2 linked regions of the Sus scrofa genome follow. The protein of the gene in region 2 purifies or fractionates together with the protein of the main gene of each other region. This does not show direct contact. Links are inferred from orthologs where the notes say so. Each region holds a gene or a part of one and is shown on either strand. Other genes may lie near its edges.

The links.
Region 1: the proteins of PIDD1 (region 2) and CRADD purify together in Homo sapiens (affinity purification with western blotting; 8 studies listed by BioGRID and IntAct, with this or other methods). This does not show direct contact. The link is inferred for Sus scrofa from reciprocal best matches to the Homo sapiens genes PIDD1 and CRADD.

Annotation. Positions count from the first base shown.
Region 1 is NC_010447.5:89,477,413-89,481,948, forward strand, and holds the start of CRADD (death domain-containing protein CRADD), read right to left. Parts: upstream 2,994-4,536; 5' UTR 2,602-2,993; intron 2,261-2,601; exon of another isoform or gene 2,012-2,260; intron 1,380-2,011; 5' UTR 1,374-1,379; coding exon 1,076-1,373; intron 1-1,075. UniProt on the Homo sapiens protein: Adapter protein that associates with PIDD1 and the caspase CASP2 to form the PIDDosome, a complex that activates CASP2 and triggers apoptosis.
Region 2 is NC_010444.4:502,065-506,414, reverse strand, and holds the start of PIDD1 (p53-induced death domain-containing protein 1), read left to right. Parts: upstream 1-1,519; 5' UTR 1,520-1,711; coding exon 1,712-1,759; intron 1,760-2,134; coding exon 2,135-2,513; intron 2,514-2,801; exon of another isoform or gene 2,802-2,808; intron 2,809-2,943; coding exon 2,944-3,357; intron 3,358-3,662; coding exon 3,663-3,872; intron 3,873-3,957; coding exon 3,958-4,012; intron 4,013-4,176; coding exon 4,177-4,350. UniProt on the Homo sapiens protein: Component of the DNA damage/stress response pathway that functions downstream of p53/TP53 and can either promote cell survival or apoptosis.

The sequences.
Region 1 (4,536 bases), on a different chromosome or scaffold from region 2:
CTAACTCTATTAAAAATAAGCAAGTAGGAGTTCCCATCGTGGCTCAGCGGAAATGAAGCTGACTAGCATTCATGAGGACACAGGTTCGATCCCTGGCCTTGCTCAGTGGGTTAAAGATTGGCGTTGTTGTGGCTGTGGCATAGGCCAGTGGCCACAGCTCCGATTCGACCCCTAGCCTGGGAATCTCCATATGCCACGGGTGCGGCCCTAAAAATGACAAAAAAAAAAAAAAAAAAAAAAGCAAGTAAATTTTTTTTTTTTTTTTTGGCCAGTTCAGTTTTCTGCTCCTCAATCTCCGTAAAAAGTAGAAAGCATGAGAGGTGTTAAGAGGGAACAAGTGTTTCCTATCACATCTCCTTCCGACACAAGCCAGGCTGATAACCCTAGGACGGTTTCTCTTTTTCATAGCTTCCAACGTTCCTTCAAATCAAAAGGAGCCATCCCTCCCCCAAAGCACTGTCCACACCAAATTAAACACTCCAGGTGTCCAAACAAAGCCCACCTGAAAGGAAGACTTTAAATCAACAGCCTTTAAAAACAAACAAAGCCAGCCTTCCAAATAATCCCCTTTGGCCACGCAGGGTGGGCCATGGAGCAGGTGCAAGGCGTGCCTTCCTAGACGCTGTCTCCTCCTTCATGAGTCTGACCTTTTCCGGCCCGCCGCTCTGGCACCCCTCTGGCACCCCACACATCAGTTATCAGGACGCCTGAAGCCTACTTTCCCATCTGCACTTTCCAAATGGCTCCTGATGCCAAGGGCTGAGACATGACCTGGCTCTCAGAGGAGAACATGCCTCCCAAGGGACCTGCCAACTTTCCCTGGAAGCATTTCTAAACTATCCGCTGCGTTCCCGCCTCACCCTCCCAGCCATGGCCCATTGCGCCTTCCCCCGCTGCACGTCCTAGCTCCACCTCCTCATCTGGTCCCACCAACGCCAGGTGCCTTCAGCACAAACTCCGTACCCATTTTCAGGACAGGCCAACGCCCAGGCAGCCTAAAACCCCAACTTCACATCCAAAGGGCACAATTCCAACACTTTGGGAGCTGGTCTGGAGGGATCATTTTGAGGCCTACCTGCAGGCAGCTCAACTATGGCTTCTTCTCTTGCCTTCTCCAGCTTCTCCCTTACCCAAGGGAATTCCTGCAGGGAATCTAGGAATACATCGAATGCTTTAGGACCCCTGGAAGGTAGGATATCCAGCAGCAGCATTGTTTTCCGAAGGCCTGTAGCTTGAGCTTTAATTTCTTGAACGTGGTTTTCCGTCAAGATCCCTTCCTGGTAAAGATACTGGAGAACCAGCCCCTCTACCAGCACCTCTGCACCCAGCTCCAGGCGAAGGGAGCGAAGGACTTGCTTGTCTCTAGCCTCCATGTGCCCCTGGGAAAAGACAAAAGGTAGCTCAGATCACGGGATGCCTGATGAGCCCCTAAAAAGGCTCTTACAATGCAAACTCCTTAAGGTCAAGGACGTCTCTGAAAATTAGCAGAGTGCCAGGCCACGGTGTTTCATACGCAGCTGTTAAGCCGAGCTGAATTAATTTCCAATGTTCCTGAACGTGATGAACAGCCCTGAGCATGAATCATGCCCTTTGTTTTTGCTCTCTACATAGTGAGGTCCTAGCTCCAGTCTTGTTCCATAAAGAGATTGGGAAAAAAAGTGGATCAGAGACCCTACTTTAAAAGCAATTTTTTTCTGAGGATAACAGAGGAGCATTTCATTTTAGCATGCTTGAGAAGAAACAGTGCTTTTTATTTTAACATTGCCTTCATCAGAGATAACCCCATCACGGCAGAAACTGCTGATATCCATGTGGGTATCCTTTAGACCCAGGGCATGTGCCGAACCTGATCCGCAGTGGGGGTGAGGCCAGAAACCTGTGGGGGTACCATACGTTTAAGAATCTTTTTCACCAAGAGAAAAGGCCTTCAAGGAAAACATTAAACATTCCTGCCCAGTCTACAGTAAACCTTACACCTAATCACAGACTCCAGCCCTTCCCTGGAAGAATTCCAAACCTCCATCACAACACTGCCACGGCCACACATGCATGGGATATTTAATGGGTGTGTTTGTTTCCTTTAAAAGAAAAAAAAAAATGTCCACAGGCCATTGATGGCTTGCTTCCAAGACCACTGCAGCAGTGAACAGAGGGCCAGCCAGGAGAGTAAGTGGCGGAGAGGGGAGGCCGGGGCGGCCGACGGGGCTTCACAACACCCACAGAAAGTACCACCACAGCGGGCGACCCCGAGGGGCGGCAGGTAAGCAGGGCGGTGTGCACTTTGGGCAACTCCTACTCGTTTGGGACTTCGTTTTATTCCTTGCCCTGCCAGCTCAAGCTCTGTGGCATTAACAACAGGAAGAACTACGAAAGATTTTCTAGGCAACCTGACCCACTAAAAAGGGAGTGCTGGGAATGGTCTGCAGGGGAGCCCGAGGGGAGAGCGTCACCCCGTCACCCCGACCCCGCGGGCTCGGGGACGCCGCGAGCAAGTCACGGGGCGGGACGGTGGGGGGGCTTGCAGGGCCCAGGCTGCAGATGCCACGACGCGGGGTCTTTGAGAAAAGATGGATACGGGGGTTCTGGTTTCCTGTTACTTACGTCTGCAAACACGTATCTTTAAAAACAAAACAGAACAAACTGCAACCGGAATCCAGACAGTCAGGGAACCTGTACCATGGGCACCATCTTTGTTGAAGGCAAGAGCCCTGAACAGGAAGTGTTGTAGCCATCTTTGTTAAGGGCAAACACAGGAAGCGCTGTGGCCCTCTTTATTGGTGGCCCGAGTGTGTTCGGATGAAGCCTTTTCCGCCATGTTTGCTGTGGGTAAATACTGAAACCTTCTGGAGATGGAAAACGTACCTTCGCTTAGGAAAGGAGTCACTGGATAATTGTATTTTAACACAGTAACTCCACCAGGGCTTTGTACTCAATTGACGTAATAGATAGTCAGGTTTCGAAAGTTACCTTATCAGGGAGACCTTCCTTGATCACTCTTATTTAAATTTGCAACTTCCTGGAGTTCCTGTAGTGGCGCAGTGGCTAAGGAATCCGACTGGGAACCATGAGGTTGAGGGTTCGATCTCTGGCCTCGCTCAGCGGGTTAAGGATCCGGCGTTGCCCTGACCTGTGGTGTAGGTCGCAGAGGCGGCTGGGATCCCGCGTGACTCTGGCTGTGGCTTAGGACGGTGGCTACAGCTCCGATTACACCCTTAGCCTGGGAACCAACATATGCCGAGGGAGCAGCCCCAGAAAAAGCAAAAAGACAATTAAAAAAATAAATAAAATAAAATTGCAGCTTCCTCAACCATGCCTTTTAAAATTGCAATATTCACCTTCTGCCCTCCCCATCCCTCTTACAGCTTCATTTTATCTGAAGCACATATCACCATCTTACTAAAATTTTTACTTAATCATTCGTTTATCATGTTTCCCAGTCCATCCCCAACCCCTACCCCCCACTAATTGCAGTCATTCCTTTATATCACAAGGGTCTGCCCACAAAGAGTTTACAAGTCAATCAGGTAGGAATTCATTAAAGCAATCCGCGAGCTGTTCTGGACAGAAAGGCATTTGTCATGAGGCATTGAGGACTTTCACGATTATTAGAAAGACTGAAGATCTGAACATGGAAGAATGACTAGTAAACATCGGCAAACTGAATCAGAAATGGAAAGCAATTCTAAACCTCTTTGAAACGTTCTAATTTTTGTAACCACTTTAAAGTGTTACTATACCAATATGCCATTTTACTATGCCAGTGACACTATTTTTACATTGGGTGAAAAGTAGTATAATTAGCATTTTACATATGTGAGGACTGTGGAATCAAAGTGGTCAGGTGTCTTAACCAAAACCTCACAGCTAACAAATAGCAAAACCTGAGTTCATTCGCTCCGTCTGATTTCATGCTCTTTCCAGTATAGAGAACATCTCACATCCCTGTATGGTGAAAAGTCTGCTCTTCTAATGACAGAAAAATGCTAGTAAATAATTGGTGCCACCTCTACTCTTGATACTCTTGAGTAACAGGTATTGTCTCCACTCTCCTCTTCTTCTTTTGTTCTTTTGCTGTTCTTTTCTCAGAGAGTCTCCTTCTGTTTATGGACAGGTGTTAGCAACATTCCAGATAAAATGCAGAGTTCTTCTGACAATGCCAATAGCTGAGGTTACTGACTTTGGGGGGAGGAAAAAAAATTATTTTTTCCAACTGTAAAATTTGATAATTTTCAAACATATGATAAGGCTGAAACAATTATTAACACCACCAACTAAAAAAACCCATATAAAACTACCTATTTTTAAAACATGCCTAGAGTTCCCATCATGGCGCAGTGGTTAAGGAATCCGACTAGGAACCATGAGGTTGCGGGTTCGGTCCCTACCCTTGCTCAGTGGGTTAAGGATCCAGCGTTGCTGTGAGCTGTTATGTGGGTCGCAGACGCGGCTCGGATCCCATGTTGCTGTGGCTCTGGCGTAGGCCGGCGGCTACAGCCCCGATTTGACCCCTAGCCTGGGAACCTCCATATGCCACGG
Region 2 (4,350 bases):
ACCTCATGGTTCCTAGTTGGATTCGATTCCACTGAGCCACGACGGGAACTCCAAAACTTAGTATTTTAATCATACAATTTGGTAGCACCAGGTACATTCACATTATTTTGCAGTTATCACCACCATCCATTTCCAGAACTTTTTTCTCCTGTCAAACTGAACTTCATAGCCATTAAACAATAATTCCTCATTCCCCTTCCCCAGCCCCTGGCACCCACCCTTTTACTTTTGGTCTCTACATATTTGACTGCCCTAGGGACTTCATGTAAGTGGAATCACACAGTATTTGTCCTTTTGTGTATCGTTTATTCTATTTAGCATAAGGCCCTCAAGGTTTGTCCACATTGTAACAGGTGTCAGGATTTCGTTCCTTTTTAAGGCTGTGATTTTTTTTTTAAGAGCAGAATCTGTGACATATGGAAGTTCCGAGACCAGGGGTTGAATCGGAGCTACAGCTGCAGACCTACACCAGAGCTCACAGCAACACAGGATCTTTAACCCACTGAGCGAGGCCAGGGATTGCACCTGAGTCCTCAGGGCTACTAGTCGCGTTCATTACCACTGAGCCATGAGGGGAACTCCTGTGATTGGATTTAAAAAAAAAAAGTTCTTCTGGCAGCTATGGCAAAACAATGGGGCATGGGAGCTGGGGAGAGTGGAGGCCTGGTGGGGGAACTGCCATCCCAATGGGAGTGATGGTGGTGGCTGGGCAGTGGGGGAGGAAAGCAGAGGCACAGTGTCATTTGGAGCAGCACAGGCAGAAGCAGGTTTGTCCATGTATTCGTCCACAGGCACCTGCTTTGCCAGTTGAGGAAGCACTGGTGGGGAAGGTTCCCGCGAGAGTCAGACCAGGTTTGAGGTCCTTGGCTTGGGTGTTCACCAGCTAGTGGCCTCGGGCAGCATCTGATCGTTCAGCGCCTCCTTCACCTCCCTTGTGGGATGCAGAGGACAGAAGGACGCAGCCCGTGAGGAAGCCCTCGGTGGGGGCCCCCACCCAAAGCAGTGTCTTCAGAGCTGAGACGTGGGCTCTGCAGGGCTTGAGAGGCGACCGTTGGGGCTGGCCGGGGGCAGACTCAGAGCTCTGTCTTCTGTCAGGAGATGGGTGTGGGCCGCCAGCTGCGATCAGCCCCCAATATCCCCGGCCCGCCCTCCTCCGAGGTTGCACCAGCTCTTTTTAACACGGCGCGGAAAACGCACGGCCCGTAGCAGAGCGGGCGAGAACTTCTGAAAGGGCGGGTTTGGTGGCGCAAGGCGGGCTTTCCCGCGGGAAGGCTGGACGGCACGGACGCACGCGGACCGGCAGGAAGCTGAGTGTAGCCGAGCGGCAACCGGTAGGGGGCAGGCCGGGCGGAGGGGCCCGGAGACCTCTGCTCGCCGACCCCTGCCGGGCGCAAGGCGCGCGCCGGACGCGGTGGGGCCCGGAAACGCGCCGCCTGGAGCGCAGGTATCGCGCGGCCCGCGGGCGCGGCGTGGGGAGGGCGGCGCGGGGAGGGCGCTCCCCCGCCCGGACCCGCCCCGAGCGGCGGGGGCCGCGCCTGCGCCGTGCGACGCGGTCCCCTGCCGACCCAGCTGGCAGCCGAAGTGGCGGCAGAGCCCTCCTCCAGGGGCCAGGAAGTGGGGTCCCGTCCCCAGGACCCCCCTCCCGCTCCTGGCTCCTACCCAGGGCCCCGGTCAACCCGGCCCTTGCCTGGGCACCGCCCCCACGTGGTGGATGTGTGCCGGGCGCTCCGGTCAAAACCGAGGAACGGGAAGGTTGGAGGTGGGGCTGGACCCAGGGCTCTGCGCCCAGAGGCTGAGGAAGAGGGATGGGGGCTGGTTAGGATCTGACCCCTCTAGGAGGCCCTTGTCTAAGTTTCCAGGTTGGGGCAGGAAGCCTCACTTCTCCCCCTCCCTCAAGCACATCCCCGGCCCCTGTGCACACGGAGGTCTGAGCCTGGCCCTGTACCCCAGCGACTGCCGCCGGCTGCTGCCTGCTGCCGTCCCAGCCCTGGACAGGCCCATTCCCCGCCCCATTTCAGCAATGATCTGTCCAGCCTAGGCTCCCGGCTCAAGGCCAGAATCCCTCCAGCCAGAATCCCCTCTTCTCTGGCTGGGAGAAGGCCCAGCTCCCTCCTACCCATCCCCCCCCCCACAGCCTCCCTGGGTCCTGCCTGCGCAGGCCTGCCTGGCGAGCTGGGACATGTCTGGCCCCCGAGGACAACCGGTTTGCGATGGCTGCAGTGGTGGAGGGCAGGAGCCAGAGCCGTCTGCTGCAGAAGATGCTGCAAGAGATGCTACGGATGCTGTGGCCGTGGGGCCGGGGACGCTCCCTCTCCTGGCCGGGAACCGGCTGAGCCTGGACCTGTACCCCAGGGGCTGCCACCGGCTGCTGCACCTGTGTGCCCAGCAGGTCCCTCAGCTCCTGGAGGTGGAGTTCCTGCAGCTGAGTGGCCACGAAGACCCTCGGCTGCTGGAGGCCACCCTGGCCCAGCTGCCCTCGAGCCTGCCTCACCTCCGCTCCTTGGTTGTCAAAGGTGAGCCGCACCCGGTGTCAGCTCTGTCACAGCCCCATCTCTGGCTCCTGCCTCTGCATCTCAGTCCCCAAAGGCAAACCGGGTCCCAGCCCCGTCACTGTTCTCTGCATGGCTCTACCCACCCTTTCTCTTCCAGCTGCTCCTAGACCCAGCAGCTGCCTAGTGGGGGGTCTCCGGCCGGTCCCAGGGTGGGTATTTTTCCTGGGGCAGGTCATGGGTGACGGCTGTCAGCTGAGATGAGCCCGCCTTGTCTGTTCCTGCCTCCTCCATCTGCTGGTGTCTCTCTAGCATCTAGGTTTGTCTGTCCCTGTCTTGGCGGACTCGGGATGGAGGGCTGCGTGTCCGTGCACCTGTTGCCCTGGGTGATGGGGCTGAGATGGGCCCCAGGGCCCCTGGCTCTGAGGGCCGTGTCTGCCTTTCCCCGTCCCAGGCGGGCAACATCGGGACGCTCAGGGCGCCTGCCTCCGCGGCTCCCTGGCCACGCTGCCTGCTGGCCTGAATGGCCTAGTCCGCTTGGCCCACCTGGATCTGAGCTTCAACAGCCTGGAGACGTTGCCGGCCTGTGTCCCGCAGATGTGTGGCCTGGGGGCCCTTCTGCTCTCTCATAACTGCCTCTCAGAGCTGCCTGAGGCCTTGGGGGCCCTCTGCGCCCTCACCTTCCTCGCTGTAACCCACAACCGCCTGCAAACGCTGCCCACGGCCCTGGGGTCCCTGTCCACCCTGCAGCGCCTCGACCTCTCTGAGAACCTTCTAGACACTCTGCCCCCTGAGATTGGAGGCCTGAGCAGCCTTGCTGAGCTCAATCTGGCCTCCAACCGGCTGCAGAGCCTCCCTGCCTCCCTTGGTGAGTTGTAGCCTCCGTTCCCTGGGCCTATGGAGAGTGCCCATCGGCTGTTGCAGGCCTGCTCTCTCCTGACGCCCCTTTCTGCTCCGCGGGGCCCTGCGCACGCGGGCTTGCCAACTCCCGGCCCTTGCTTGCCCCCCACTTCCCGGCCTTCGAGGCTCCCAGCGCCGGCCTGCCGAGCCTGCTAGTCCTGCCGCAGGGCAGGGACTGAAAGGGCTTCTGCAGGAGGCCCCGGCATGCGCGGCCTGGCCTGGCGCTCCGGCCCCGACCCTCCTCCGCGGCCCTAAGCCGGTGCCTGTCCGCAGCGGGGCTGCGCTCCTTGCAGCTCCTTGTCCTGCACAGCAACCTCCTGGCTTCAGTGCCTGCTGGCCTGGCCCGCCTCCCGCTGCTCACCCGCCTGGACCTGAGGGACAACCAGCTCCGGGACGTGCCACCCGAGCTGCTCGACGCCCCCTTTGTGCGCCTGCAAGGAAATCCTCTGAGTGGGAGCCCCCCCACCCCCCGCAGTCCCCCAGGTAGGCCCGTTGGTGGGGAGGGGGCCCACCACAGACAGAATGCGGGTGTCATCACTGTCCTGACGGGTGGTCTGTCTTTCCACAGGGACACCCGTGGTCCCCAAAATGCCCAGTCTGTTGTTGAGCTCAGACCTGGACAGGTAATGATGTGGGGGATACGTGGGGCTGAAGAAGCATCCGTCCAGCCTGTCACCCTGTCCATGCTGTATGCCTGGCTCACGCCTTGAAGGCCTCCTAGAGCTGCCACACTCAGACGTCCGAGCCCCTTCCCGTCTGACCCGATGCCCACCCCGTCTTCCCGCAGCTTTGCCGTGACCCCCCTGGGCTGCTCGGTGACCCTGACCTGCGGTGTCCGCCTGCGTTTCCCTGCTGGTGCCACCGCGACTCCTGTTACCGTCCGCTATCGGCTGTGGCTGCCGGAGCCACGCCTTGTCCCCCTAGGTCCCCACGACTCTCTGCTCAGTGGCGTCCTGGAGCT